7 linked regions of the Neurospora crassa OR74A genome follow. The protein of the gene in region 6 purifies or fractionates together with the protein of the main gene of each other region. This does not show direct contact. Links are inferred from orthologs where the notes say so. Each region holds a gene or a part of one and is shown on either strand. Other genes may lie near its edges.

Region 1 (3,966 bases), on a different chromosome or scaffold from region 6:
GCTAACTATCATGCATGTGCTCGGCATATCATGGATCGATCGCCAAAACATCGGAACGTAGTGTATACGCAATGTATACGCGTCAAGGTGAGATTTCGAACCTAAGCGGCCGCTTTTTCTCACCAATCGCGGAGTATCAAGGTTTATCATTTTACTCAACTGCCACTTTGAGTTTCGATAACATAATGTAGTTTATAAAGGTAGACTGAATGGCTATACATACTGCAAAGAACAGAGAATAATTCCTGTTCGCAAGATCTCAAAATCCATCGCTTCGTAATCCTGCGCTCAGTCAGCCTCTTCCTTGCTCTCCCAGTCTAGCTTGCTGACCATGGTCATGAATGACCTGAGAACCTCTGAATCCCACATCAGTCTAGATACAACCTCGCAGCCCTCATCCATATAAATCAGACAAGCTCAGGAAAAGAAGAAAGCCCTCCTCTTTATCAGACTCCCTATGCAAAGTAAGGATAAGTGTGCCACCATCATCAAAAACCAGAACTTTTTGTGTACCAATTCTTCATCAAGTATCGTCATATTAACCCGTACCCTACCGCGTAAGGAATTCACCTGATTTTGTAGCACAGACTCTCTCTTCCATCCTCTCTCTCGTGTACTGGAGATGAGAGATTGCCGTTCAGAGGGGCCGTGCTACTTCGTAAAAGACCCGTGCCCAACCAGCCATATACAATGCCGTCTTAACTCCGTCCTTGAAGCGTGAAAACATTGAAAAGCAAACTGCAAGGGCCTCGAAACAAGAAAACAAAAACCGCTTAACCCTGCATCTTCTTTCTCTTGCCGACCTGGGCAGAGAAACCGGTCTTAATGGCCTGGACAGACCGCCTAGAACCGCAAGAGTTGCAGGTAATGAAACTGTGACATGTCAGCATTTTGGGGCTATGGTCGTCGTAAACAGAGGCCAACTTACTAAAGACGGTTCTCGCCCTTGGAGAGCTCGGTGTTGGGGGAACGGCACGTCTTGCAGGTAACGTACTCTGTTGAGCATGTTAGCATTTGTAGTCAGAGCAAAACGTTGGGTGCTGGTGGTGACATTGTCTACTTGGGCGCAAAACGTCCAAACGACGACAGGATCAAATAGACATACCGATAATGTAGGTACGCAGAACGTTCTCGATCTGCTTCTGCTGGAAACGACCCTTGATGACCAGACGCCTGCTGCCGTCGACGGAACCGCTGGTACCCAATTCGGCGAAAAGGTAAGAAGTAACGTGCTCGTCGGCTCTCTTCATGCGCTTGCAAATCTCGGGCAGGTTGGCGAAGATGGTCTTCTTGTTGCCTTCACGGAGACACTGCGGGGGCGGGATCTTGTACGACCGTGTACCGGTAGAGGCGTGGTCGGGGTTCTTTTGCGAGAGAAGGGCGAAGAAACGGGACAGAAGAGCGTTGTAGCTGATGGGCTTGGTCTCGTCGTGGGCCCAAATGCCGGTGCCCTGGTCCATATCGCCCTCCTGCTCGTCCTCCTGGGGGGCGGCCTCCTCGCCCTCCTTGCCCTCAATGTTGAGAGCCTCCAGCTTCTTGGCGAACTCATCATCCTCCTTGACGACCTTCTTCTTCTTCTTTTTCTTCATGGTGAGGTCGATAGCACCGTCACCCTCGGCAGGGGCGGCCTCATCAGCAGCGGCGTCGGCATCGTCCTCCTTCTTGACCTTCTTCTTCTTCTTCTTCATGAGCGAAAGGTCGAGGCCATCATCGGCGGCGGGGGCGGCAGCAGCAGCAGCATCCTGGGGCTCGGTGGCTTGGGGGGCATCAGTAAAGGCCCCGAGAGCGGCGTGGAGGGGCGGCGTACGAGCAGAGTGGGACTGGGCAGTCTCCTTGATTTCGTCGGCGGGAGAGGCGTCCATGGTGACAGAACCGTCGGGGTTGACAACTAGCTTCTCGTCGGTAAAGGTGACAGACTTGCGCGAGGGGCGTCTTTTGATAGAGGGCGCCTAAAGGGTTAGTATATCGGAGTGGATAAGGCGCTTGTCGTGGGAGTCGCGATAGCGGTCAAGGATTTCGCCGTCGAGTGTGGATAGGAAAGCTCGGAATTTTTTGGGATGATTGGCGGCGTTTTCGCGCTGCAGAGTGCCAGAACTTTATGGTGGATTTTGGGCTGGGGGTGGAGGGAGAGGGTTGGCGCCTTGGAGGGGCAGTACACGTCAGGGGACTTGAGGGCTGGGGCCGGGGATAGGTATAATTGCACTGCGTAGGTAGCAAAGTACAGTGAGGGGTGTGCAGTGTGGTGAATGGGACTTTTTATTTCCTTAGTATTTTTGACTAGGCGAGAAGCGTGGCTCCCCCCAGGGCTCGAGGTGTCTGCCTCTAGCGTGGTGGTAGGGTCGGGGAGGACGGAGGGTGTGTTGTGTGGGCGTAGAGGTAGTGAGTGTGTACTGAAGCAAGGAGATCCATCCCAGGTACTTACTTCAGAATCCATGCTGGGCCACTGGTGTGTTTGAGAGTGTGGTGGTGTCTGTCTGTCTGTCTGTAGGTGTGTGATTGTCCGTCTTTTTCTTTGTAATCGATGTCTCTTCCGGTGGACTCTTTGTTGGTCGCAGAGAGTGGATTTTGTCGATGGATGAGATTAGGTAGACTTTGGGGTCGGGAGAGGTATCGATGCAGGCAGACTGATCTCAGCTTTCTTTCAGTTTCGGACCTGGAATTGTTCTTTGCGGGGACCTAGGTAGTTGGATGCCGCTTGGGTCCTGGTCTGGTTACCTACTACTACTGTCGTTTAGTTCTGTCGTTGGGCTGGAGACTGAGCGGAGTTCTTTCTGTACACACGGCTCTGGATGGGGCACCGGCACCACGCCTCAGCTGTGTTCACCTCATGACGTTGATTGAAGCGAAACTGTGAGTCAGTCTTCTCAATCACCTGACAAGTGGGGTGGGAAGAGCTCAGACAGCTGCCCGCCACTTGCAACTACAAATCGCCTCCGCTTCTCCATTTTCCAGGCCATGCAGCCCTCCTCCCTGCAGCACGGTGCCTTCAACCCGCTCGAGCCACGGCCGCACAGTCCGACACGGTTGGGTTGGCACTGGCACTTGCAGTCCGGTGCAGTGCTTGGCGGCAGCGATAGGTGAGTGGTGTCCATTCCAGCATCGCATAGCTGCACTGCTGCAGCAGTTGGTGCCGTGGCCCGTCATCGGTCACCGACAACAACCAGCTCCATCACGAACCTTGGAAGGCGCGCCGAGTCCGTAGAGGTATCCATCTCCGTGTATCGCTGTGTTCGTAACCGACAACGAATCTCCCAGCAGCAATCAAGTTCGTCCCACGCGATTTCTACAATATCCTACACGTCAGGCGTTACGCCGATTCGTACAGTGTCTCCATCCCGAACTATCGCAATTTGCCCGAGCTACGATAGCTACTTACAGTACCATCTTCACCGCGACAACCGACCGTGCGCCGGCGCCGACCACTTGCTCGCCTCATCCAAACCACACTGACGATAGCTACCTACTCCCGGCCAGAGACGCGATACCCTCAGACAGACAAATTGCGCATTCGGGACATCCAAAACCATGTCCACCCCCTCCGATTCCTACGTCCTCCACGACCACTCCCCGTCAACCGACAACGACGATGTCGACTCCCTCCCGTCCATCTCCAGCAGTATCCTAGGCTCGGACGACTCCGAGTACGACGACGAATCAGACGCACAAAAGGAATGGGAACAGAGTCTCGAGCAGCTGCAGCTTCTCTTGAACTTGGTGCTAATACCGTTCGCGGGCAAGTTTTTGGGGCGCAAGTTTGCTTATTGGAGTAAGACAAACCAAAACCAGATCTTGGGAAAGACAGCTTGCGCTGTGGGAGGAGACAATAACGACGATGCGGAAAGTCAGTTGCTAACATGGCCCGGCAGGTTGGGGACGGTACATGGAGTGGGCGCACGGGGTCAAGGTCCAATGGTATAACAAGACGCTATTCAACATTGCCGGTTGGATAGGAGCTGCTACGCCAGT
Region 2 (3,987 bases), on a different chromosome or scaffold from region 6:
CGGGAGACGAGGAGGAGGCGCTGAGTCCGGATTCTTTAGATCACGGCAGCAGCTATGGGCACCCCGTGGTACGGGCCAATGGCACCGGTTTGGAAAGCAATGTGGGACCGGACCAGCCCGGTGGGATCATCACGGGGAGGAAACCACCGTCGCTTGACGTTGATCAATGAGAACAGGTTGACACAGCTTACAGAGACGGGTAAATGACGATCAGATATGAAAGGCAAATTTCGACGCATTGTCGGATCAGAAGAGTCAAGGTGCATTTTCCGGAAGTAGGGACTTGGCCCGGATGGGTGGGCTTGATGACAAAAGCGATTATTTCTCTAAACGAGGAAATATGAGGAACAACAAATGGTTTTATGTCACCAACATGGGTTTTGGTACAGTCTCTCTTATGTTCAGGAGGCGTTTTGAGATAGGGAAATGAGGAACCTATCCATATGTACACATATCTACCTGGTAACTCTTCAAGGGAAGTTTGAGCACACTGGTCTTCGGCATTAATCAACGTGTTTATGCTGTGGTAACAGTTCATGTATTTGAAAGGTTCGTGTTGCCGCATGACACCGCTTGTGAATCTTTCCTCAGTAGACGCTTGGATATATGGTCTGGTCGTTTTGAATTTTCACGCTCCAAGAGACTGCCTTTCAAGCGTTAAGTTCAACTTCCCGTCGATTTGACGATTGGTTTTTAGGAGGCTTGAAACAGAGAAGGGTGCAGTTCAGCACAGACGAAGAGAAGCAAAGCCGGCAAGGTGAGAAGAAATCGTCTGGTAAGAACCGAAAAGACGTATAGCTAGACCAAAGAACATAAACACTCTATCAATGGCTCTCTCTCCCTTATTCGCATCGATCCCGACGTCCGCTGTGTAGAGGCTTATGGGGTGCGGGAATAGAAACAAAAAAACAAAGAGAAGAGAGGCACCTGTACTCATACTTTGTTACTCGATACTGTATGGTATATGCATTCCACCACCTCAAAAGTCAAAAGATCCCGTACCTCGCCTGTTCCATCCACTCATCGAACTCCACTTCAGCCTGCTCTTCATAGTCCTCCCCTAGCCTGAGACTCCGTCGCAGCCTTGCAGCAGCAGACATGAGAGGTGTCAACCAATGGTTCGGCTCGTTTGGCTCGTTTGGTAGCTCAGCTTCATCGTCAGCTTCGTCGGCGGCTCCAATCGTGGCTTCTGAATTCCAATACTCTTCATCCGCTTCTCCACCAGTAGCAGCAGGCCCTTTCTAATGAACGCCTTCACCGCCGGCAGCAACGCCTCCCGTTGCTGTACCTGCCGCCGCCGCCGCATGTTGCTGTTGGGCACCTTCAGCCTCATCCATAGCAGCCAGCTCCTCCTCTTCCTCCTCTTCCTCCTCCTCCTCCTCGTCATCATCGTCAAGCTCAGCCTCGTCCTCGGCGTCCTTGAACCCGCTCTCGACCTCGAGCTTCCTCAGCCGCCTACGCATCTCGTCCCGCTGGCTGTTCTGCCAGCGCACCAGAGCGGCAGCGGCGTGCACCTTGAAGCCGTAGCAGCGCGGAATGTAGCGCTCGACGCTCTTGGCGGGCACCAGGGTCGGGTATACCTGAAAGAAGATGTTGTGGAACGAGGTGCCGAAGTAGGCGCCGTCAATGGCGGCGTGGCGCGACGACTTGGGGTTGTAAATATCCTCGCAACGCGCGCAGTACAGCTTCACCGGCTTGGAGTTGGGCACGTCCGAGAGACCCATGGGCAGCAGAGGGTGCGAGGAACACATGACGCGCGGGCACTTGCCAAAGTCGGCTTTTTTGTACTTTTCGAACTGTTGGTGGGAAGTGCGTTAGTCACGGATGAAGACGAGGAGACGCTGGATGAAGATGGAATGCTGAGAGTTGATTACTGACCATTTTTTGAAGACCCCGCGTTGTGACAATGTATCGAGCATGGACAAGACCGTACAGGTGCCTAGCAGACTTCTCTATTGTTTCCCGCATGTCGTCATCGCAGTCGAGGTCGAAGACATCGGTGATGAGATCGAGAGCATATTGGTAGTACTGGACCTCAGTGTTGAGACCAGTTAGATTGAACCTATCAGTGATGTAGTCCTCGTCAATTTCGCAAAAGTACTCATTGCCTCGCGAGGAAATAAACTGCAGGCGGACGCGCAAATGTCAGCATGATTGGGGAACCTTTACTGTAGTAAACAATAACAACAATTGCAAGAGAAGCATACCCAGTCGCGCCAATAGCTGGCATAGTCGCTCTCAGACTCGCTCACAAAGTCATCCATGGCCGGCGACACCACGTCTATACTCGGCGCATAAAAGGAAGGGAGGAAGGTGGTGGTGGGAGGAAAGTGGGCGCGAACGACCGTCGGCTGGCGCTTCGCATCAACGAGGCCAAAATCCCGGGTGCCGGGGTCAAGTACGGCGTTTGAACCTTTTGTTGGGCCGAACTAATGCGCGCCGGGCCGTAGATGGGGAGTGGGAGGTCCGAGTCGGATGAGATTGAGCTGGCACAAGGCACAATGACGACAAGACGTTGGAGAGGATTGTGATGCTTTTTTGCGACGGTTTGATGGGAGTTCAGGTGGAAGAGGGTTCAAAGCCGTCCCTGGTGCAGGGCAACGGCAGGGCAGGCGAGGGGGTCTGGACTCTAGACCGGGAGCCAAACAGGCTGACAGTCCATGACAAGGGACTTTTTTTTTTGGTGGGGGGTTCATCGCCGTTGCAGTGGTCCCCGCAGGGCAGGTTGCAGTGCCCCCCCGCCCCTGGCTCATCGCAGTCTGTTTATCAGCAGTCCCGACCTACCCAGGGCACTACACAGAGGTAGGTTATCAGGTCTGCAAAATCGACCATCTGACTACCTAAGTACCTACCTAGGTAGGTAGGTAGGTAGCGGGCGGGTACCTTTCGTCGGCCTTCAGTCAGCCCAACGGCCCAGCGTATGACTTTAATTGTACGTTCACAGGTACTGGGGATGGAAGCATGTACTCTGTCATTAAGGTAGGTATTCTATTGGGCGTCATGACGTTCAGTGCTACAGTTTGTGCCTTATTTTTGAGCAGGTATATTGTTGGAGACGGAAAACCCAAAAAAAATATATATAAATAAATAAAAATGGGGGATAAGAACGCCAGTCGCCTGTGATTATAGCTGTTCTAGATTATCTTGAAACATCCCGGCTTCTATAACATCTGTGTTGCCCTACAGCATGTGTCTAGAGCTCAAGACCCCCGCTTCATCATAAAGTGACGTTCTGGTAGGATCGTGAGCGCCACGGCTATGGATATCCAACAATCCTACAACCAACTATCCGCTTTCCAATTTCCATCCACTTCATTAACCTTCGTACCGATTAGCACTGACAACGCTGCCGGCGTCGCTGATTGTGCGCCTGTCAGCATCCCAGTCACTACCTATGATCCCCTTGGTATTGGAAATCAATGAGCTGGTAGTGCTGGAAGCACCGTTAGCACCACCACCCTGAGGAACTCCAAGCATTGTGCCCAGCCCGCTGCCTACGCTGCCATGGCCATCCTCCAGCTCACTTTCCTGCTTCACTCGCATCTTGGCCAGCTCCATTGCTTCACGCAGCGTGTCCCCCGTTTCATCGAGCGCTGCTAAAAACCGCGCCAGCTCTTTGCATAGCTCCCAGTCGCCCTCGCGCATTGCTCTGCTTAAGAGACGCACACTCTGCTCGCTTGCTGTTGCGAGTTCGTCAAAGGTATGGAGGATGAGTAAGTAGCCGCCAGCAGTCTTGAGGCTCCCACGCTGCAAGCTCTCCTCAAACAGCTCCTGAGGTGGAGGGAGATAGGCGAACAGAGTACGCCAGGAACGCACTTCCGTCTTGCGGGTACACTGCACCACAATGTCCAAGTACTGCTTGAACGATGAGAGAAGTGACAGCACGCGTGGGAGGATGGCATGTTCTGGAGCAGGCGGAGGATGGGCATCCACCTCTTCGTCCAGGACATGGTGCAGAAGTATTTCCAGTCCATGCGCAAAGTACTC
Region 3 (4,088 bases), on a different chromosome or scaffold from region 6:
GAGGAGGAGAAGGAAAGGCAGGAAGGGAATGATACTGATGGAGAGAGTGATCATGACCGAAGGAGGAGGAGGAGGGGAAAGGCAAGAAGGTCTAGGGATGAGAAGGTGTAGGGGTTATGATGGGCGGGAGGCTATTGTTCTTGTGTGTTCATGGTGTTGTTGCTGAGGTTTCTTTGCGCCGAATGTCCCCCCCCCCCCCCCTTTTTTTTTTTTTTCATTTCATTCTCGAGTGATATTTGTTTCTTATTTCTCTTATAGGCAACCAGCCATTTTTCTTTGTCGACATCTTCCAAGACTTCATGATTTATGAGGGCAGGGCGGAGGGATGAACGACTTTTACGGTGATGAGATGAATGAGACAGGAAGATGAAGAGGATGAAGGGACGTGCCGGCTGCTTTGAGAGAGCTCAGGAACTTACGGTCTTTGCGATTGGTCGGTTGAGTTGATGATAGGACATCATAACAGATTCTGTCACCAAGTAATATAATGTTTGATGCCAGGGACGTTCAGCGGGATAGATAAATGCACTGATAATAATTCAAGAGTTCAGAGAGGCTGTCAGCTGTTTTAAACACTGGCATGCGCCCTGAATCGACAAGAAGACCACACTGTATTCTGAAGAGCTTCGGTGCGTTTTGGGCTCCTGTAGTCCGGGCATGTTGCCAGTCTATTACACCGATCTTGTTCAACCTGGAGTTAGCCCGTCATCCATGTAACAAAAGTCAACTATAACCACCTGGCCACCCTGGCCCGATATGCTTAAAAGGCGGAAGAAATCTCTCGATCATGACAAATTTTGCCGCTTGTTCCCCATTAGTATGAACCCCCACAGCAAGAAGAGACAGGAACCAGATCAAGTAATAGTAGTATCAAAGAGTCCTTTCCCATTTTGATGACGCACTTCCTTGTGCAGACCGCATTAGGGACCAAAACATCGCTGCTTCTTCCATCATTCCTCTAACCCCTTCCTCCCTCTCCTCCGCCTCCTCGTCCGTCTAGAAGACCCATTAAGTTTACGCAGCCTTCTTCGCGAACTCAACCCTAAGGATCAAATGTCTGAAACCGAAACCGTCCATCTTGGCGCAAGCCTTGACAGCGTCGCTGCGATCAGCGAAACTGATGAAGGCGAAGCCCTTGGCAAGACCCGTATCGCGATCCTTGGCAAGGAAGACACGAGTGACGCGACCGAACCGCTCGAACATATCGCGAAGCTCTTGTTCCTCGGCCATCTCGGAGACCTAAGCGTAGAAAACATGTTAGCACGAATCAGTCCCGTCATAATAACCCCTCTTTAGGAGCAGAACAGAGCAGCTTTTGCAAGTCTGTCGCCTACTCCCTCTTTCCCTTTTCCTTCTGCTTCTTCTTCTTCTCCACCACCACCACCACCTCCTCCTCCTCCTCCTCCTCCGCGTCCTTTTGGGGGACACTAGGGGCAAACGTACGTTGGTAACTCTGAGAGTGGCGAGATCGTCGCGCTCGCCGTACTTGCCGCCCATCCTCTCTCCAGCAGCCGCGGCCCCACCGGCACCACGCAGCGCAGGTGGCACGTACGAGCCCTTCTTGCCCGCGCCCGCCGCACCCTGGGAAGCGGCAGCAGCCTCGTCAGCAGCACTGGCGGCGACGTCGGCGGCAGCGCCGGCCTCGCCGATGGGGGCCATGGTGTCCTTGTAGGGACAGCGGGCGGTGAAATGCTCGCCGTTGCAAATACGGCACTTGACCTTCTTGTCCTTCAACTTGTCCTTCATGGCCTGGGCGTTGGGGTCCTTGCTCTCATCCTTGGCTTCCTGGCGCCAGTTGAAGGAAGGCTTGAAGATGATGTTCTCGCCGACCGAGGTGGTGTCGGGGGCCGGGCCGGCGCCGTCCTTGACGCTAAGGCCGAACTTGGTCCACGACTTGCGCTCAGCGACGCGGGGGTTGACGACCTCACGGTGGGTGATGTAGCGGATGCGTCGTGTGGTCTTGACCTTCTGGCCGTTGTCGTTCAGGCGGTACTCGATGATGGTCGTGCTGCCATCCTTGTTGGTGATCTTCTGAGGGGGCGGGAGTTCGGTGGAGGTCTCCTCGAGCTCGTCATCGTCGGCCCAGTCGTGCCTGAATGGTCGCGAACTATGTTAGACTCTTACTCTCCGAGAAATCAAATGCATACGTGTTGGGTTGTGAAGCACGCCGGAAAAATGGCAATCGGGGGAATCGGGGGCGTGGATGCAGACGGGCGTTTGCTGTCGAGGCAAGCGGAGGAGTACTGACTTCTGTTGAACGGCAGCCATCTTGACAGTATGTGGTTGTTTTGATTCCGCAGGTTCGGCTCGTCTGGTGATGGGTGCGGTGGATGACTGAAATGGCCGTGGGTTGTCGTCGCGATGGGTTGACGTTGCGCTGGTTTGGCGGCGATTTTTGGTGGGGCTCAAGTTTGAAAAGCCAGGGCAGTTTTCCCCCCCATTTTTTGGAGGTGGGAATTTTTGGATATTTGAGTGTGGGGCAAAAATTGTCTTGCTGACTCGGCTTTCACTCAGGAAATCAGCCCTGTTTGGCAGCTAACGGTGCTCTATCCTACGTACAATATCAAGGCAGCAGATTCGCACATGACAGCCAATACGGCTCCCTACAAACGAAGCTTCGTTCTTTGACAAAGCAGGACTGGTCGCATCCAGACGTATACGTTGAGGTGTTTTGCCCCTTCTTTCATTATCCGCTTTGGGTTGCTTCCACTTCGCATCCATTAGTGGGGGCATCACAGGCATCACAACCCTAACCCGAACGTTGCTCCTCCAGGCCTACCAGGGGCAGGGCGCGGCGCCGCAACATGGAGCTAGCTCAACTCTCTCGACACCAGGACGTGTTGTACATAGTAGGTACCTTTGTTTGCAAGTTGATGGCTGGCACCGAGGTTAAAGTTTGAGAGTTTGAACTCGATTCAGATTTCTCCAAGCATCCATATCTGATGCTCTAAACTCACTGCTATCTAAGTTGGCCACGGAGCCTGCCGGGCACCAGCTTTCTTCTGACTCTGTGACCCCCCTCCTCCGATTGAGAATCGAAAACCACCCCGCCCTTCATGCCCACCACACTCACCTCCTCAATTAATCACCTACATACACAGTAGGTACCCCAACATTACATAATACAAGGTATATGGCAAAAAAAGACAAATCCCGCACCAAATCGACCTGACAAAGGAGATCGTTCACACGTTACGTTCCGGATGTCGCCGGTGGTATAAATGTACCCTCATCACCTGGGTATCCAGTATCTTGCTTCCTGCATCCTTATTCCATCCATCTAACCGGTATCTTGTTTTTCGACTGAACCCGACCTTGAAAAAAGAGAGACAAAGGAAATGGTGACGGAGTCAATCAGCGGTTCGATGGCGGTTTATCTCTATCAGTTGAATCCCCAGGCGCCCTTTGCTCTGCAAGTATTGTCGCTGACAGATACTCGGAAACTTCAGTGGTCGTGCTTCCTAGACGTCCAGAAATGGCGATGCGTTGAATGATGGTATGGCGCCAGATACGAGTAAATGCAAATCACAGCTCAAGGTGAATATGCTGAGTGACAGACTTGAAGTGACGATTTTCTCGGGATTGGAGGAAGGGCACGATTCGGCGGGGGAGCAGGTGGGGGACCTTCCGCCAGCTGTGTCTTATTCCGTCGCGAACCCAAGCCGCCGTTGGCAACCGACAAAGACCTAAAATGGGGCGCGGGTCTCGAGCCCTGCTTCGAAAGTGAAGTTGAAGATATCTGGGGAAGGTCGCCGAGATCGTCACCGAGGTCACTCAGATCAAGGAAACTGCGATCAGGTTCGCTTGACCTTTCTGACAGCTGAGACTGCAGACTAAATCTTCTATCGGCGCGCTTCGATGGGCTACCTGGGTAATCGCCGACGGACGGAGTGGATCTGAGCATGTCTTGGAAAGCCACTGATGATGGAGGAGCATAGCCTGACCTCTTTTCAGGGCTACCATGTGTGACAGGTTGTGTGGGAGAGAGATTCTCCCAGTCCTCGCCGCTGTCACAACGTTGCTTGGTTGCGTCCGGCAATCCCCAAGACGAGAAAAGGGACTCCGGTTCCGGTGCTGTCTCATCAGCT
Region 4 (4,107 bases), on a different chromosome or scaffold from region 6:
GCTACCATCCCCGGCGCCGCAATGAATGGAGGAACTGCCATTTTCTTTTTGGACGCCTAGAACGCCGGAATCCGATGCATCATCATAACAACGACGGGGGCGTTTAGTATTGTTGCCTCTGCCGCTAGTCTTATTATTCTTGGGAAGAACATCATTGGAGACACCGTCTTTAACTGCTCTTCTCGGGATCGTCCAAGAAGAACTATAGGGGAAAGCAATGTTAGTATGAGGTCGCAGGATGGGAGAACTTTTCCAAATTGAAACAGAAACAAAACTTACGTAGTTGCCACTGAGCTTCTGCTCCTGGTCAAGCTGAGAGTTCAGCTTGTTGATGCGAGGGCGATAGTTGGTAGGATCACGGCGGAAAGTGACATCAAGGTTCTTCAAAAAGGTGTTGCAGCCAGTAAGCAAAGACTCGGGCTTGTTGGCGTGAGCGTCGATACCAGGCTTGCCATCAAAGACAATAACACGGTCGGCAAGGTAAGTGGCCATGATGAAATCGTGCTCGACGATGAAGGCAGTCTTCTTGGCGTGCATAATGAAACGCTTGATAACACGGGAGGCAATGATACGTTGCTCGGAGTCGAGATCTGGAAGACGGTTAGAAATGCATCTTAAGGGGGTGGGAAAGAGGTTCACGTACAGGCAGAAGGCTCATCGATGAGGTAGATATCAGCAGGAATACCGAGAGCAAGAACAATGGCAACTCTTTGCAGTTCACCACCGGACAGATGCTTGACTTCCTGGTCAATGAAATCATCAAGCTTCAGAGGCTTGACGACGTCAGTCTGGAACTGAGGAGACAAGAAAGCAGCCTTGATCTTCTTGAAGAACAGCTGGCGAACGGTACCCTCGAACTTGGGAGTGATGGTCTGGGGCTTCATGGAGATCTTCATCTCGGGAACCCTCTTGGTGCCGTCAGGCTTAAGAACACCGGCCAAAAGACGGCAGAAGGTGGTCTTTCCAGTACCGTTCTCACCCATCATGACGATAATCTCGGAATCAGAGAAAGAACCGGCGTCGATGGACAGGTGGAAGTTGCCCATGGTCTTCTCCATGGCAGGGTACTTGAAGGCGCGCGACTTTTCCTGGATGAACTCCTCAGTGCCTTCGGCAATGCGGAAGGTCAAGCTCTCGTCACGGAAACGCAAGTTCTCAGTAGGGATGTGACCATCGAGGAAAATGTTGATGCCTTCACGGACGGAGTGAGGGAGGGTGACGACACCGTATACGGCGGGCTGACCGTAAAGACAGCAGACGTAATCGGAGAGGTAGTCGAGGACAGACAAATCGTGCTCGACGACAATGACGTAGTCGTCGGGCCGGAGGAGAGAGCGAATGATGCGGGCGGCACTCAATCTTTGCTTGACATCGAGATACGAGGAAGGCTCGTCGAACATGTAGACATCGGCCTTCTGAACGCAAACGGTACCGATGGCGAAACGCTGGAGCTCACCACCGGAAAGGAGGGTAACATCACGGTCGTAGATGTGGCGCAACTCTATTCAAGATCAGCCAGGGCGTCCAAATAAGCAAATCACAAAGCGCAAAGCATGTGGAACCTACCAAGGGTGTCGAGAACCTCGTCAAGGTTATCGAGAGAGCGGCGGCCCTCAATCAGGAACTTGACGCTCTTGTCGGGGGTGCGGATGGCCTTGGGGATCTGGTCGACGTACTGGGGCTTGACAACAGCCTTCAGGTCATCCTCGAGCAGCTTGGTGAAGTAGTCTGCGATTTGTCAATCCTCTGATCTCCTTCCAAGGTGAGCCGTATTCCTTACTCTGCAACTCAGAACCGCGGAAGTACTTGATGACGTCCTCCCAGTCAGGCGGGTTGTCGTACCTGCCCAGGTTGGGCTTAAGCTTTCCGGAGAGAATCTTGAGCGCGGTACTCTTGCCGATACCGTTCGTTCCGACAAGACCCAAGACGTTGCCGGGACGGGGCATGGGAAGACGGTGGAGCTTGAAGCTGTTGGCGGCATAGCGATGGGTGATCTGGCTCTCGAGGTTGGTGGGCAGGTTGATAATGGTGATGGCGCCGAAGGGGCAGCGCTTGGGGCAGATACCACAACCAATGCACAGCTGTTCGGAGATGAAGGCGATGCGCGACTCGGGAGACACCTAGATATCGGATGTCAGGAGGGTGTTGTCGCGCAAAACACGGGGATCGCAAGGGGTCCGGAGAGATCTTACCTCGATCTGTTAGAGAGCAGTTAGCTGTTTGGTCTTGTTACCGCACGAGGACTATGGAGAAGAGGGAAGCTTACACAGAGTTTACCGGAGCGCACAACAGGGCATGACTTCTTGCATTCCTGGCGACACTTCTTGGGCTTGCACTTGTCGCTACTAACGATAGCGATACTACAGATACGAAACAGGCGAGGTCAGCAAGGTGGAAGCCAGACAGCGCATACAGCCAGACCAGCACAAGCCAGTATCGGCCGATGCTTCTACAAGCAGAGCACACACGCGTGCGGCCTTGGGATCGTAAACGCACCGAGTGAGTTTGTCCGACATCTTGTCTGTGATTTCGCTCTGCGGACTGATCGAGATGGGTGACTGTGGGCGGACCGCTATCCTAGGCGCAAAGCGGGAAATGGGGGAGGGGGAGAAATTCTCAAGATGCCGCACGTCTCGGAATACTACGAGCAGAGTGGAGAGGGCCAAACAAGGCGGAGGAGGCTGACACTCTTAAGTTTCTCCAGAGGCAACGTGGGTCGACGCCTGGGTTGTGGACAATGTCAGTTCCCTCGTCTCAAAAAATGTCGAGACCGCTGCACCGTGCGCCGAGTCTGGTGGCAGGGCGGATCGTAAAAAAAAAAGACCCCGCTTGCCCTGATGTGAAGTAAGGTAGGTCGTCGGGCTTCCTACTTAGGTACCTCTAGCCCCGCAACGCTATGTACCAACATGGTAGCAGGGTTGGAGCTACAAAAGAGGTGTAAGCTGAAATGTGCCACGGTTGATAGGTTACCTCTTAAAGGTACCAACTTTACCTTGGTATCTAATGCCAGGTGAAAGCCCACTGTTCCTGTTTCGCTGTCATTGCTTGCCTTAGGTGCCCCGTGTGCACTTTTTGTAGGTATGTAACGACCCTCCATATAAGTAGTAGGTACCTAAATTCCATCTCCCCAGTCGGGCTGAACTCTCAGTCCACCCCATGATTTCTGTCTCAGAATTCCATAACATGACAGGAGCTTCTACTATCCTATCATTGCGGTTGCACCAAGTATCTAGCTGATGTTCACGCAAGTGGTCGTCCACATTGGGTTCCACTTTTACTATTGTTCCTCTGTCCTTTGTTCTGTTTCCGCTTCCCATTGATCTCCCCTTCATTTCAGGACAACTTCTGCCCAAAGATTCTTACAGTGACCCAAGTGGCATCGTGGAGAGTTGGTTAATCATGGGCGTGTACTTAATGTCTTGCTGAAGTCAGTTTGTGCTCATTATCAGCCAAAACAGATCCGAGATCTGCTGAACACAGCCTTACATCGCCTATTTTCCCGAATACATGGTCATCGCTTCCAATGGACGACTATAATGCGGATGATGATGACTAGACAGTTTCATTGATATTGCCACTTTCTCTGTCCAGGTGATGATAGTTTCCTCCGTGGATGAACAGATCCGACCCATCCTTCACAAGTGAGCGTTAATATCTAGTACTCCCTCGGCTAAAGATAATGCGTCAATGGCAGCGTATTGTTTGTTTGGAGGGGAGTACTTGTATGGCCGACGACATCAAGCTTGATCATGACGCTCGGTAGGAGGATGTGCATAGTTACCTAGTTAGGGTTGACAACTAGAAGCGCTCGGACTCCTCCCACAACCGTATCGTTTAAGGAAATCACTCGCAGCATCACGGATGCCGTCAACGATCACGATGCAGAGAGGCGCAGGGTTACTGACATCAAACCGGACTTCCGAACAGAGCTCTGGCTGCCTGTCGACATATGTTTCCTGCGCCCCGGCCGGGCAGTGACTCACAACCAATCTACTCTGATAGCAGTCTATTCCACATGTTGTCGAGGCAGAAATGACATCGGCATCAAGACGTTGAAGATAGTTGCCGACAGAGGTCAATGTTGGCAGTCAAGGAAGGCTGGTGGCC
Region 5 (3,627 bases), on a different chromosome or scaffold from region 6:
GGCTGGCGGATGACTTACAGCGTAGTGGCGTTCATGGTCACCGTCAGACTAGTCGAAAAGATGTTGAACAGAAAGGTGGGTGTAGTGATGGTGGTCAGCTTGATGACAAAGTATAGCACACTCGAGATGCGGTGCAACAGCCAGAGGATGATGGTGAACCATGAAGTCGGGGTGTGTTCGGGAACCACATCGCTAGTAGCTTTCGAGACCGCATCGCTGGCGAGAGCGACGACAGACGAGAGGGCTTCTGTAGGATCGGCGAGGATTGCCGTCGCAGTCGTGGACGTTGTCTCGGAAAGCACCGAGCTCATGGCGTTGCCGAGGTTGCTAAGAGACTCCATTTTCAGAAGCCTGAAGCACCAAGCAAGCAAGCCAAGAGTTACCGGGCGAGCCCGTCGTGTAGATCGGTTCTGACAGAAAGAAGAGAGTGTGTATGTATGTTTTTGTTTTTGTGTTTCCTTTTTTTTATAGGGTTGTAGGTATCGCGGTAGTGTCGCGCCGTCGTCGTGGGGATGGTCGTGAAGAATAGTTGGTGTTCGATCGATCAGCGTGTCTGAACCCCAAAAGTACCGTCGCAACCTGATCAAGACCTATGAGCTGTCCCCTCCCCGATGTGCCTGTGGTTGAAACCCAACTCTTACTACCTGGTCTGCGGTGTCGTCGCTCTGTTCTTTTTCATATCGGTCCAAGTGTTGTCACCCAAGACGGAGACCGTCGAGAAAAGCGAAACGGGTGAGCTCCTCCAAAAGTAACGACATGTGCGGAGGGTTTAGATGAGCCCAGTGTCGTCGGGTGTTGGTCGGCCCTCGGGATTCGTTTGGGTGCCGTGCAAAAGTCGAATCTCCAAGTCGCCGTTGGTGGACAAGCAAGGTTCAGTGATTGAAGCTCCCTAGCTCGACGATGTCCAAGGAAGATTCCAGGCTTATCAGTGACTAACCCCACTGTCGGTTCACGATTGACGTCGTTGTTCCTGCCCACTGAGCTGGCGCTTGGCACAGTGGAGTTCGGGGCAGGTGGAGTAAGTAGAGGTACCTAACCGAGAGCAGGTACCTGCCTTTGCGTACCGTTGTTCCCACCTGGGCTGCTGTGCGCTTCCTTACCTAGGTACCCGACTTACCCCACCTCAAAAAAAAAAGATGGAGCCGCGTCTCACTTGCCGTCACGGTCAGAACGTGAAATTCACCCCTCAATCCGGCGCACCAGCCACAGCCTACTTCGTTCCCTCCCAAAGTGCCCACGCCACTTTTGCAGCCTGTCTGCACGTAATTTTTGGTTGGTACCCGAAAAATACTGCGACGCATCTGGCTAACTTTGAGTGAGTCCTTTGAGCCTCGCTGGACCCTCCGAGAACCCGCTGCCGCAACCAGAACTCGAACTTCCAGAGGACCTTTCCCAGCTGTGGCCACTTGCAGCGAAACTCGGTCAATTTTCTTTCTCGGCCATCAACCCCTCCAGACCATCCACTCGAATTCCATCTCGCCCATTGTCGCGAAGCTCGTCGCCGACATTACCCTCCCCCTTTCAACACCACTAACACCACCACTTATTTCACCGTTTGCCCCGCCCGGGAAAAGGCACCAGTCGCCAACATGTCGCTCTCAAACTGCCGTTTCTATGAGGAGAAGTATCCTGAAATCGACTCGTTCGTTATGGTCAATGTTAAGCAAGTACGATACACTGGGGTCCCGGTGGTGCGCATGCGCATGTGGATGCGTCAGAGCTGACCCCCAGATTAGATTGCCGATATGGGCGCCTACGTCAAGCTTCTCGAGTACGACAACATCGACGGCATGATCCTGCTCTCTGAGCTTTCCAGAAGACGTATTCGTTCCATCCAGAAGTTGATCCGTGTCGGTCGCAACGAGGTCGTCGTCGTTCTCCGTGTCGACAAGGAGAAGGGTTATATCGATTTGTCCAAGCGTCGTGTGTCCCCCGAGGATATCGTTCGTTGCGAGGAGCGTTACAACAAGAGCAAGATCGTCCACTCGATTATGCGCCACGTTGCCGAGAAGACTCTTGTTCCCATCGAGCAGCTTTACGAGACAATAGGATGGCCCCTCAACAAGAAATACGGCCACTCGCTTGATGCCTTCAAGCTTTCGATCACGTACGTCATTCCGGGAAATAGGCGTACAGCTGTGGGACAAAATGGCGGTATTGGACAAGATGCTGACATGGATGTGAAGCAACCCCGACGTCTGGAATGACATCCAGTTCCCCACCGAGGCCGTTGCCGAGGAGCTCAAGACCTACATCAGCAAGCGTTTGACTCCCCAGCCTACCAAGGTCCGTGCCGATGTTGAGGTCACTTGCTTCGGCTACGAGGGTATCGATGCTATCAAGACCGCTCTCCGCACTGCGGAGGCTCGCAACACTGAGGAAACCCAGGTCAAGTGCAGACTTGTGTCCCCTCCCCTTTATGTGTAAGTCTTTGCCAGAAATAGTCTTGCAATGTTGAAGACAGAGTGGAAGCTAATAACTATACACAGCCTTACCAACACCTGCTTGGACAAGAATGCCGGTATTGCCCGCCTTCAGGAGGCCATTCAAGACATGCGGACCAGCATCGAGGCTGCTGGTGGCCACCTTGTGGTGAAGATGGAGCCCAAGGCTGTCACTGAGTCCGATGATGCTGAGCTCCAAGCTCTTATGGAGAAGCGTGAGCGTGAGAACGCTGAGGTCAGCGGCGACGAGAGTGTCAGCGAGTCCGACGACAATATCCCCGAGACCGTCTAAAGCGCCTCTTCATTTTGCAGCCATTCTTAAACGGAGCTATCTTTGCAGGCTCATTGGGATACTCGACACTATTTTGAGGAAAGGTTTAGGGATGCATGTATACAGTTTTTGCGACACAGGGCTGGCGTCTAGGGGATACAAAAGTCCTTCAGGCGGTAGAGGAATCAACCAAAAGATTGCATCAAGCGTATGCCTAATGAATGTGAGCGAGGGACGAGGATTGATGAACACAAGACTTGATATGGATACATAGTCATTTTATGGATGCACTTGCTGTAACTAGGTAGATCTAGGCGTTCAAGGATATGCAGCTACCGGGGCTGATAAGCGATCTCATCGTTTTCTTATCGCCGCCTGCCCGGGCATGTGGCTGCAATTATTGTCTTCTCCATGTTAACACACAAGCTCCGTACTGCTCACTGCCCTGCTCACTGAGCACGTTGAGGCGAACATACGCCCTCTATTTCACAGCAGCATTGCGATTCACAGCAAAGAGTTGCATCGCATTGACATCTTCGGTAGCTCGATAACTCGCTTGGTCGGATAGCGATGGCGGCGCGATGGGGAGCAGGAATTCGGAACGGATTCCTCGGTCAGTTCTCACACTACCTCATTCGCTACGCAACATGGATCCCTCCATTGGTGGTCTTCAACGGCTGGGTTGCCGAGATCACACAAATCAAGGGGCCGTCCATGTATCCTTTCTTCAACCCGCACTACAATGAGTCAACACGTCGGGACATCGTACTGGTCTCTAAGTGGTACCCGGACCGGAACCTCAAGCGCGGCATGATTGTGACCTTTAGGTGAGATCCAAAATCTCATCCTACAGCATCTGGCGTGCCGCATTCGGGGCATTGGTTGGGAACCTGACGACTAACTGTAACCCAG
Region 6 (4,076 bases):
TCATGCGGATCTTGTTGCTGTCAAGGGTCTCGATGTCCTCACCCTGAAGTTCCTCAAGCTTCATATCCTTGAGGAGGGCTTCAACTTCCTTCCTCTTGATTTGCTCGCGCTCGTTGGCAAGACGCTTCGCCTCGCGGAGCTTCTGTTCCTCGGCAAGACGGGCGGCCTCAGCCTGTTGGAGGGCCTGCTCCTGGAGCAGCTTCTTGCGAGCGTTCTCCTTCTCCTTCTGGGCCTGAGCCTCAGAAGCCTTATCCTTGCGCGTCTGGATGATCTCCTTGCGAGCAAGGACCTCCTGGTGCTCCTTCTCGGCTCCAGCCTTAGCACGAGCAAGGGCCTCATCACGAGCCTTGATGCGAGCCTCGTTGAAGCTAGGATCGATATAGCGGCAGGTGGTGTAAAGAGCCTCAGCGAGGCGAGTGAGCTGAGAGCGCACAATCTGGGAGGGAGTGCTCTGGAGACGCTGTACAGAGCCAGTCTCGCTCTCGGCAGAGCCGGCAGAGGAACCGGCGTGGACAGCCTTGGCGGAAGAGAAGACATCAGCATCGAAGCTAAGAACGCCAGTGGCGTGGTCCATGCGGATGGCGAGATCGCCCTTCTTGTTGCCGTTCATAATGAACTTCTCAATGGTGCCGCGAGTGACCTGGAAAGGCTCGGGGAATTGAGCCAAGCTCTCGACGAACTCAAGGTCGACAGTCTCATACACCTGCGAAAGCTGCTGGAACAGGCGGGTGAGAATGACCTGCTGAAGAGGAAGGATGTACTTCTGCATCTCGGCATCGGCGCCAATCTCCGCGAGAATGGGGGAAATCTTCTGGCAAATGGAAAGAGGATGGAAGTCGACCTCGAGGATGTTGTAAAGATCGCGAATCTGGGGCTGGGCGCGGCGGAGAAGCGACTTGGAAAGGGCATCGCGGAAGAGTCCAGCACGGGTAGGAGCCTGGGCCATGCCGAGCAGGTGGGTCAAACGAGAGTTCTTGTTCTTGCGGGCCTCATCGAAGTCCACCATGGCACCGCGAGAGCGCGAGGTGCTGATGACGGGAATGGAGAGGGCGGAGAGAATGACAAAGGTGGCAGCCCTCTGGAGGTCAGCATCGCTGCAAGCCGGGTTATCAGCCTTCTTGCTGTGGCCAGAAGCAATGAGAGCAGCAGACTGGCGCAAGAGGTTGTAGTAACGAGCCCAAGCAGCGGCGTGGAAGAGGTAGTTCTCGCCGACAAGGAAGATACGGGTGAGCTTCTCGTAGTAGTTGGCCATCATGACGTTCTTGGCGGGGCGCTTGCTGAGGCTGAGGAGGGTGTGGATATCCTCAACACTGCGGAAAGCCTCCTGCCAGAGCTCGAGCTCAACGGCGACGTTGAGCTGCTGGAAACGGGTCTCAAGGTGACGCTGAAGAGTATCGGGGTCGTTCAGGTTGATGGCGTGCATCTGGGCCGAGTACTTGGCGGCGGTCTGGACATGGTTGCGGAGAAGCTCGCAGAGGCGGCGGAACTCGGTCTTGCGGGTGTACTTGAGGCAGAAGTCGAAAGCCTGCATAGCGGTGCTCTGATAGAGAACCTCGAGGCGGGCATTGTTCCTGAGAATGTCAAGAACAGTGCGGTAAGCCTCCCAAAGGAACTTCAGCCAAGGAGTGACGATAGCGCGGTCGGTGCGGTCGCGAGACTGCTCACCGGAAACGGTAGCGAGCAGGATGGACTCGGGGGTCTCGCTGGCCTCGAGATCGTCGATGTTGGAGGTGGTGGCCTCGATGCTGGACTGGACCTCGTCGGCCTTGGCCTGGGCAGCAGTGACCTTCTCGGCGGCGAGCTCGATGAACTTCTTGAGAACCAACTCGATGGTGGCGACGTTGGTGTTCTGGGCGATGTTCTTGTACTGGTAGAGGGCGTCCTTGGCGAGCTTGCCCTTCTTCTGCTCGACGGAGAGCTCGACGAGTAGGAGCATGACGGGCTCCAGGGAGGCGATGGGGACATTGCGGGAGCGCTTCGAGGTGATGTGCTCGTGGAGCAGGGTCAGGGCGGCGGGGGCCTGGTTGACCCCGATGAGCTCGTGGGCGCGCTTGAGAACATTCTCAGGCTTTTGGTGAGGTGGGGGAGGCTGTTGATGATCAGTAATGGTCACCACGGGTCACAACACACGACGACACTTGGTGGTGAGCGGGACAGGCGGGGAGCGGGGGTGGTCGAGGGTTGAAGGGGGGGGTGGAGGGCAGGGTGGGCGGTGATGAGGTTAGGTGACGATGGAGTTGGCTTTCCAGTCAAAGGAGGGGCAGAAGATTATATGAACTCGAAGCCATAACCATAAGGCTATGGCTGTATTCCCAACTCACCATGATGGGCAACTCCTCGGCACTTGGCTAATCTGGAGGAGATATGGATAAAGTGGTGATAGGGGACGCGGCGCGCAAAGCAGCACGTAGAAATGCTGGAGACTTTGGCTGAGGCTGCGCTGTCCAGGACGATTTTTTCGCCTCGTGGAGAAGTTCAGTTCGTTGCCAGCCAAAAAAGCCCTGGCCAAGGCTAGAGGCTCGATTTTGCTGAGGAGCACTTTGTGGGCTGGGATGATGCGGGACAGTCACGTGATGCAGCTTATCGAGCACGTCGCTGCGACAACAACTCAGAGGCGTGAAGTGCAAGTTGTTGTGCGAATGGATGTTTGGTCACTTCTGTAGCAATGGGGATTGACTGAGATGCAATTATTTTCTTGATCTTAACCGTGATCTGCTGTGAGGCTATTGTGCACAATGGTAAAAAGGTTGGATTGTCGCAAAGGGCAAGTGGGATGTTCTGCCATCTTGGCGTCTGGTGCTGTCCAGTCTGGTGTACACTAGAAAGGAGCTCCATGGTGTGTGTGCACAGCGGCTTTTGTTCTTTCTTTGTGCCCGAGTTCCCAGCCCGCTGGCGACGGGCGTTCTTCTCTGCCGGGCCACGGACCCCCGCCTTGACCGATGACGGACCGTCGGCGGTCTTGCCAAGCTTTCTCACGGCTGTCATCGACGAAATTGCACTTTGAGGCTTAGTTGGAACTTGGAACAGAATCGTGGTGCGAACTTCGGTCGAGTATTGAGAAGATAATCCCCAGTAAGAACATATATCCTCCTAAAAGGCATATGATATCGCTGCTTGAACTGCTAGAGTGGCTGCAAACTCTTCTCCTGTAGCTGAATGCACACCAGCAACTGCATAGGACTTCACGGTCTGTGATTACTGTAGTGTACATACATACATACATACATACATGCAGAAACAGGAGGCTCTCCTCTGTACCCTCGTCGTCCCACCCAGAGCGTTCAAGCTCGCGTCCATCATCGGTCGGAGCAAGTGGGCACCCACCCAATGGCGCCATTCCCAATCCCGTCCGGAGATGCCTGCTGAGCCGGGGTGGTTCCGCTAGACCATCAAAGGGGGGACGATAAAGTGGGGGCGGAACCCGTCGTGTTCTGACTGCCCTGCATTTGCCATTCTTGCTGCAGCTTTCATGCACAGCAGCACCGACAGATCCAAAAAAGGTCCCGTCGGTTGGTCGGACTAGTCCTGTCCCTGCCTATCCAGCGGCGGTGGCAGCAGTCCATCTTCAACGGCCTCCATCGTGCTTTTCTTTTCCTAGATCTTGACCTCCAGTCCCGCTTCCAGAAGCTTGCAACAATGTCAATCACAATGGCACGGATGGGGCAGGACAATAGGGAGGCCGGCACCTCATCCTGAATGCGGAGCTCGTGGTGATACTTGCTATCTTGTCTTGATACTAACTCGTCTGCACCCATTCCGTCTACGGTCGTAGTTAGTGTCGAGTTAATCTAACCAAACCCTGCTAAGCGACCCCCTGGTCCGTCTCATTTGCACTTGGCCCTTTTTTTCCTCGTCGCCCTGGGTTGCTTTGGCTGCCCAGAAGAGGAGTGCAGCACCGAAAGCGACCAGCATTGCAGCAGTGCAAGTGCAGGTAAAAGCGCAGCACTGCAGCAGGCCAAGCAGGGGGAGACTGGGGCGTCCATGCCTGCTGGGGAATTGCACGGACTGCACCCGCCTACCGAACCGTTCCCTGCTGCGCTGCTACTGGTTCTACAGGCTGCGCACTGACCCCCGTC
Region 7 (4,200 bases), on a different chromosome or scaffold from region 6:
GGCTCTGATATTGGTTTTGATGACGCCTTCTGTACCACATAGGATAATGCGGTCACCTTCCCTGAGGATACCGTTGGTGAGAATGACATCGATGGTCATACCGAAACCCTCGATGGCCTTGACTTCGAGAACGGTAGCCTGGACCTCGGAGAGGTACATGAGAGAGCCAACCATGCGCTCCTGGGTAAGCTGGACAATGAGCTTCAACATGTCGGGGATACCCTCGCCGGTGTGGGCAGAGGTGGGGACCAAGGAGACGTATTTGGCCATGGACTTGTTCTGGTAGAAGAGCTCCGAGTTGAAACCCTGCTCGGCGAAGGCGAGCTTGGTCTGCTCGAGACGGTTCTTGAACTCGTTCTGGACAGCCTTGTTCTGGAGGGCCAACGACTCCTGGAAGCCGTTGTTCTCGATCTTCTTCCAGCCGTAAAGACGATCGATCTTGTTGAGAGCGACGATGAAGGGCGTCTTCCTCTCACGGAGCAGTCTCATGGACTCGAGAGTCTGGGGTTCGAGACCGTGCATGATATCGACAACCAAGATGGCGATGTTGCAGAGCGAAGAACCACGCGAACGCAAGTTGGAGAAAGACTCGTGACCGGGGGTATCGATGATAAGAAGACCGGGAACCTTGAACTCGAACTTGCCGTCCCTGTTGACGACGTGCGTCTTCTGCTTGATGGCCTCAACGGGGAAGTAAGTGGCACCAATCTGCTGAGTGATACCACCGGCTTCACCCTCCTGGACGTTGGTCTGACGAATCTTGTCGAGCAGCTTCGTCTTACCAGTATCGACGTGACCAAGAATACAGCAAATAGGCGAGCGGAGGTTGTCCGCAGACCTGGCAGCCAGAGCGGCCTGGTGAGCCTTCTCGCGGCGCTCGGCAGCCTCCTTCTTCCTCCGGGCCTCCTCCAGTTCCCTGGCGGTAGCCTCCTCGTCTTCAGAAGATTCCTCTTCAGATTCCTCCTCAGACTCGGACTCGGACTCGGACTCCTCCTTCTTGGCCTGAGTCTTGCCGTTGGCCGCGGCGGGCTTAGAAGCCTCCTTCTTGGTCTCTTCCTTCTTGGTCTCCTCCTCCTCGTCGGAGTCGGCGTCCCAGCTGTCCTTGACATCCTCCTTGTCAGAGGCAACAGCGGCCTCCCAGTCCTCGTCGACGCTGTCCTCAGCGGCGGCCTTGGCGGCCTCAGCCTTGGCAGCAGCCTCCTTCTCGGCCTTCTCGCGCTCGATGCGGGCCTTCTCCTCTTGCTCCTTGACCAGAGCCTCAGCGGCGAGTCTTGCGCGCTCAGCGGCCTCGGCGAGAGCCTTTTCCTCGTCCTTCTGTAGCAAGTAGACACTGGTTAGCGCCGTCCATAGTATACCGTAATTGTAGCAAGAATCCCGGACAGACTCACCTTCTTGTTAGCAGCCCTCTTCTTCTTGTCGTCGTAGACAGGCTTCTTCTTGGACTCTTCACCCTCGAGCGCGTTGACCTTGATACCGGCCGCCAACATCTGCTGCAGCTTCCTCTCGTTGCGGGCCTTCTCCTCCTTCTGGGCCTTGGTCATGAACTTGCCCTCCTTCTTGAGCTGCTCGATCCTCTGCTTCTCCTTCTCCTTCTTGCGGGCGCGCTCCTCCTCCTTGCGCTTGGCCTCCTCGGCAGCGGCGCGCTCCTCCTCCTCTATCCTGGCCTTCTCCTCGGCGAGGAGCCTAGCCTCCTCCTCTTGGCGACGGCGCAGCTCCTCCTGCTGCTTCTGGAGGGCGAGCAGGTGGGCGGGGAGCTTCTTCTTCTTGCCACCGGCGGCGGCTTCGGGGGCGGGAGTGGAAGCGGGGGTCGAGACGGGGCTGGGGGTTTCGGCCTTCTTCTCCTCCTTTGCGGGCTCGGCCTTGGCGGCGGCGGCGGGTGTGGTGCCCTTCTTCTTAGCAGCAGCCTGTTTAGTGAAAAGAAGTTGTTGTTAGTCTTCCGTTTGTGTCTGATGTATGTATAGTCATTAGTGGGTAATAGTGATAATGACTGGGTACTCACCTGCTCCTTCTTGCGCTGCTTCTCACGCTCCTTCTTGAGCTTCTCCTTCTCGGCCTTGGTCAACACCCTAGGGCCATCCTCATCGGCAGCATCCTCGTCCTTCTTGGCGGCGGCGGCGGGAGCAGCCTTCTGTTGCTGCTGCTGCTGCTTGCCCTTGCCACCCTTGCCCTTCTTCTCGGGGAGAGCGAACTCGTCGTCGAGGTTGGCCTCCTCGGCGACCTTGGCCGACAGATCGGGGACGGGCTCGGCGGCAGCGGGCTTCTCGGCGCCGGGAGCGTCTTCGCCCAGCTCAGCCTCCCAGTCGTCGGCAAGACCCTTCTTCTTGCGCTTCTCCTTGGCCTTGCGCATTCTCTCCATCAGACCGCCACCACCGGAAGCGGCCTCGTCGTCGGCGGCAGCGGGAGAGGCGGCAGCAGCATCGGCGCCGTTGTTGTTGACGGGGGCGATGGACTCGCCCAGCTCGGCCTCCCAGTCATCGTTGGCCTTCTTGTTTCCCTTCTTCTTGGGCGCCATGTTGGGCTAACTGGACTGTTGGTAGTCGACCGGGGAATACCTTGAGGCGGGGATGTCGTCGGTAGGATGGGCGGGGGAGAGGATCCTGATGGGCTCTCCTTCTCTCCTTGTGACGAAAGTCGAAGTCCGGGTGAAGACCTCGTTGCTCGCTAGGTGGTTCTGGTGGTGGGTTCGTGGGGCGGCCGACTGGGGCTACTGGGCCGTTATATGCGATATGGCTGGCTGCTAAAGAAGGCAGGCGGCGTACTTTTTTTGGTGCTGTAGGTCCCCCCTTGTCGACGGGATAGGGCTTGTCACTTGTATCACTTTTCGGTGGTGGTGCTGCAGAGTGGATCGATGGTACTGTAGGTACTTGGCACCGTGGATCTTTTTTTTTTCTTTCGTTGTTCTTTGTATCGAATCCCGCTCTGGTTTGTTGCTACACTATATAGAGGTCAGGTACGTACCTATCTCAGTACCTGTACTTACACCGTCTGCCTATGCGCTTTCTTTCAACCCGTATAAAGTGTTTGGTATTGTCTCCGTCTACGGTCAAAAAACGGCAATCATGTCCCGTTCTCTAACTCAATCCCAAGTAGTCGAAGTCGCAAAGTCAAAGGAGTCTCGATTCAGCAGAAAAATCCAGACAAGGATCGCCACTCCAAACTTTTTTTTTTACTTGTGCCGGAGCCAGGAGGTGTCGCTTTGACCAAGCCCTTGACTTGACACTGCACAGACTGTTGGAGACAGCAGTCAAGACAAATACAGTACAGTACAGTGCAGTGGTGAAAAAGAAGTGGAAGCTCCTGCACTCCCGCGTACAAGTACAGTGACCGACTCGTTGGTGCAGAATGCGGGGCACCTGCTTGTTAAGGCACAAGTGGGGCACTTGCTGGGCTAATTTCTGTATTTACTTTCTACCACTTTGGTGTATTTTGTGCGATATTCCATCCAAGGGGGCAGGCCAACTCCCTCACCTTGTCATAATGGGTATTTCATTAACCAGATGTTGCTAGTGATATTCTTTATTCGCTTTTCTATTATGCTGTAGCTACACCACCAAGGCATTCATCAGGACGGCTTGTAGGCCGACACTGGATCACACGTCCGTTTATTACCAGTGTATCTTGCCCTTCCCCCCCCCCCCCCCCCCCGCCTTAGAATTCCAAGCACTTAGTAAACTTGCCTAAGATAATACATCAACACGTTATACGCCAGTTCAAAATACTGGTCCGCAGTGCCCTCGCCCATCCACTCAGCAGTATGTTTGCCTCCATCCAACTTATCCAACAGGCTCTTGAACCGCGCCAACAGCTCCTCCGTGTTGATCAGCTCTTGCAAGACTTCCGCATCCAAGAGTGTCTTCAGCACATCACCATCCACATGCGACGGCTCAGTGGGACCCAGGTTCGGCTCCGCGTGCAGCAGCCTTTCCTCGTCTCTCTTCCCCCTGAGGTTATACAAGTTGACAATGAATCGCAACAGACGCAATGCGTGCTGATCAAGCAGCGTAAAGTGATACATGGTGCCGTCCATGGCTATTCCCAACATCTCGGCATCGTTCGGTGTGCTAATGAGCCGGCCGTACTTGGGTGCGTTCCAGGCTCCTTGCTCCCACGTTGGCCGTGTCCTGCCGCGCCGGAACTTCCTGATACTGACAGGAAGCGTCCCCTCGAAGAGCACCCTGAACTCAGCCCAGTTATGGGTTC

What was found.
Region 1: the proteins of NCU00040 (region 6) and NCU04640 purify together in Saccharomyces cerevisiae (affinity purification with mass spectrometry, with the first as the bait; 3 studies listed by BioGRID). This does not show direct contact. The link is inferred for Neurospora crassa OR74A from reciprocal best matches to the Saccharomyces cerevisiae genes RPG1 and SUI3.
Region 2: the proteins of NCU00040 (region 6) and ckb-2 purify together in Saccharomyces cerevisiae (affinity purification with mass spectrometry; 3 studies listed by BioGRID). This does not show direct contact. The link is inferred for Neurospora crassa OR74A from reciprocal best matches to the Saccharomyces cerevisiae genes RPG1 and CKB2.
Region 3: the proteins of NCU00040 (region 6) and NCU08046 purify together in Saccharomyces cerevisiae (affinity purification with mass spectrometry; 13 studies listed by BioGRID, with this or other methods). This does not show direct contact. The link is inferred for Neurospora crassa OR74A from reciprocal best matches to the Saccharomyces cerevisiae genes RPG1 and TIF35.
Region 4: the proteins of NCU00040 (region 6) and NCU03061 purify together in Saccharomyces cerevisiae (affinity purification with mass spectrometry; 3 studies listed by BioGRID, with this or other methods). This does not show direct contact. The link is inferred for Neurospora crassa OR74A from reciprocal best matches to the Saccharomyces cerevisiae genes RPG1 and RLI1.
Region 5: the proteins of NCU00040 (region 6) and NCU08277 purify together in Saccharomyces cerevisiae (affinity purification with mass spectrometry, with the first as the bait; 4 studies listed by BioGRID). This does not show direct contact. The link is inferred for Neurospora crassa OR74A from reciprocal best matches to the Saccharomyces cerevisiae genes RPG1 and SUI2.
Region 7: the proteins of NCU00040 (region 6) and NCU05270 purify together in Saccharomyces cerevisiae (affinity purification with mass spectrometry; 3 studies listed by BioGRID, with this or other methods). This does not show direct contact. The link is inferred for Neurospora crassa OR74A from reciprocal best matches to the Saccharomyces cerevisiae genes RPG1 and FUN12.

The regions. Positions count from the first base shown.
Region 1 is NC_026505.1:1,363,958-1,367,923, forward strand, and holds NCU04640 (eukaryotic translation initiation factor 2 beta subunit), read right to left. Parts: upstream 2,801-3,966; 5' UTR 2,435-2,800; coding exon 2,423-2,434; exon of another isoform or gene 1,950-2,422; coding exon 1,808-1,949; intron 1,757-1,807; coding exon 1,106-1,756; intron 996-1,105; coding exon 929-995; intron 874-928; coding exon 774-873; 3' UTR 127-773; downstream 1-126. Other genes in the region: NCU16952 (hypothetical protein), read left to right, coding at 3,526-3,766, 3,867-3,966. UniProt on the Saccharomyces cerevisiae protein: Component of the eIF2 complex that functions in the early steps of protein synthesis by forming a ternary complex with GTP and initiator tRNA.
Region 2 is NC_026501.1:3,448,591-3,452,577, reverse strand, and holds ckb-2 (casein kinase II subunit beta-2), read right to left. Parts: upstream 2,639-3,987; 5' UTR 2,265-2,638; coding exon 2,208-2,264; intron 2,125-2,207; coding exon 1,879-2,124; intron 1,797-1,878; coding exon 1,242-1,796; 3' UTR 501-1,241; downstream 1-500. Other genes in the region: NCU02755 (PAP2 domain-containing protein), read left to right, coding at 1-170; NCU11228 (DUF1339 domain-containing protein), read right to left, coding at 3,316-3,987. UniProt on the Saccharomyces cerevisiae protein: Regulatory subunit of casein kinase II/CK2.
Region 3 is NC_026504.1:4,018,414-4,022,501, forward strand, and holds NCU08046 (eukaryotic translation initiation factor 3), read right to left. Parts: upstream 2,656-4,088; 5' UTR 2,586-2,655; coding exon 2,560-2,585; intron 2,504-2,559; coding exon 2,249-2,503; intron 2,093-2,248; coding exon 1,444-2,092; intron 1,240-1,443; coding exon 1,015-1,239; 3' UTR 501-1,014; downstream 1-500. Other genes in the region: NCU08047 (hypothetical protein), read right to left, coding at 3,533-4,088. UniProt on the Saccharomyces cerevisiae protein: RNA-binding component of the eukaryotic translation initiation factor 3 (eIF-3) complex, which is involved in protein synthesis of a specialized repertoire of mRNAs and, together with other initiation factors, stimulates binding of mRNA and methionyl-tRNAi to the 40S ribosome.
Region 4 is NC_026501.1:4,385,435-4,389,541, reverse strand, and holds the start of NCU03061 (translation initiation factor RLI1), read right to left. Parts: upstream 2,801-4,107; 5' UTR 2,517-2,800; coding exon 2,497-2,516; intron 2,361-2,496; coding exon 2,267-2,360; intron 2,199-2,266; coding exon 2,193-2,198; intron 2,121-2,192; coding exon 1,781-2,120; intron 1,729-1,780; coding exon 1,567-1,728; intron 1,502-1,566; coding exon 644-1,501; intron 591-643; coding exon 280-590; intron 203-279; coding exon 170-202; 3' UTR 1-169. UniProt on the Saccharomyces cerevisiae protein: Component of the multifactor complex (MFC) involved in translation initiation. Required for the binding of MFC to the 40S ribosome. Required for the processing and nuclear export of the 60S and 40S ribosomal subunits.
Region 5 is NC_026504.1:2,569,593-2,573,219, reverse strand, and holds NCU08277 (eukaryotic translation initiation factor 2 alpha subunit), read left to right. Parts: upstream 1-1,152; 5' UTR 1,153-1,589; coding exon 1,590-1,667; intron 1,668-1,736; coding exon 1,737-2,107; intron 2,108-2,186; coding exon 2,187-2,423; intron 2,424-2,489; coding exon 2,490-2,736; 3' UTR 2,737-3,127; downstream 3,128-3,627. Other genes in the region: NCU08276 (hypothetical protein), read right to left, coding at 19-341; NCU16791 (mitochondrial inner membrane protease subunit 2), read left to right, coding at 3,286-3,542. UniProt on the Saccharomyces cerevisiae protein: eIF-2 functions in the early steps of protein synthesis by forming a ternary complex with GTP and initiator tRNA. This complex binds to a 40S ribosomal subunit, followed by mRNA binding to form a 43S pre-initiation complex.
Region 6 is NC_026503.1:2,375,198-2,379,273, forward strand, and holds the start of NCU00040 (eukaryotic translation initiation factor 3 110 kDa subunit), read right to left. Parts: upstream 2,801-4,076; 5' UTR 2,325-2,800; coding exon 2,322-2,324; intron 2,090-2,321; coding exon 1-2,089.
Region 7 is NC_026504.1:5,514,275-5,518,474, reverse strand, and holds the start of NCU05270 (mitochondrial translation initiation factor IF-2), read right to left. Parts: upstream 2,801-4,200; 5' UTR 2,513-2,800; coding exon 2,000-2,512; intron 1,905-1,999; coding exon 1,389-1,904; intron 1,315-1,388; coding exon 1-1,314. Other genes in the region: NCU05271 (hypothetical protein), read right to left, coding at 3,665-4,200. UniProt on the Saccharomyces cerevisiae protein: Plays a role in translation initiation. Translational GTPase that catalyzes the joining of the 40S and 60S subunits to form the 80S initiation complex with the initiator methionine-tRNA in the P-site base paired to the start codon.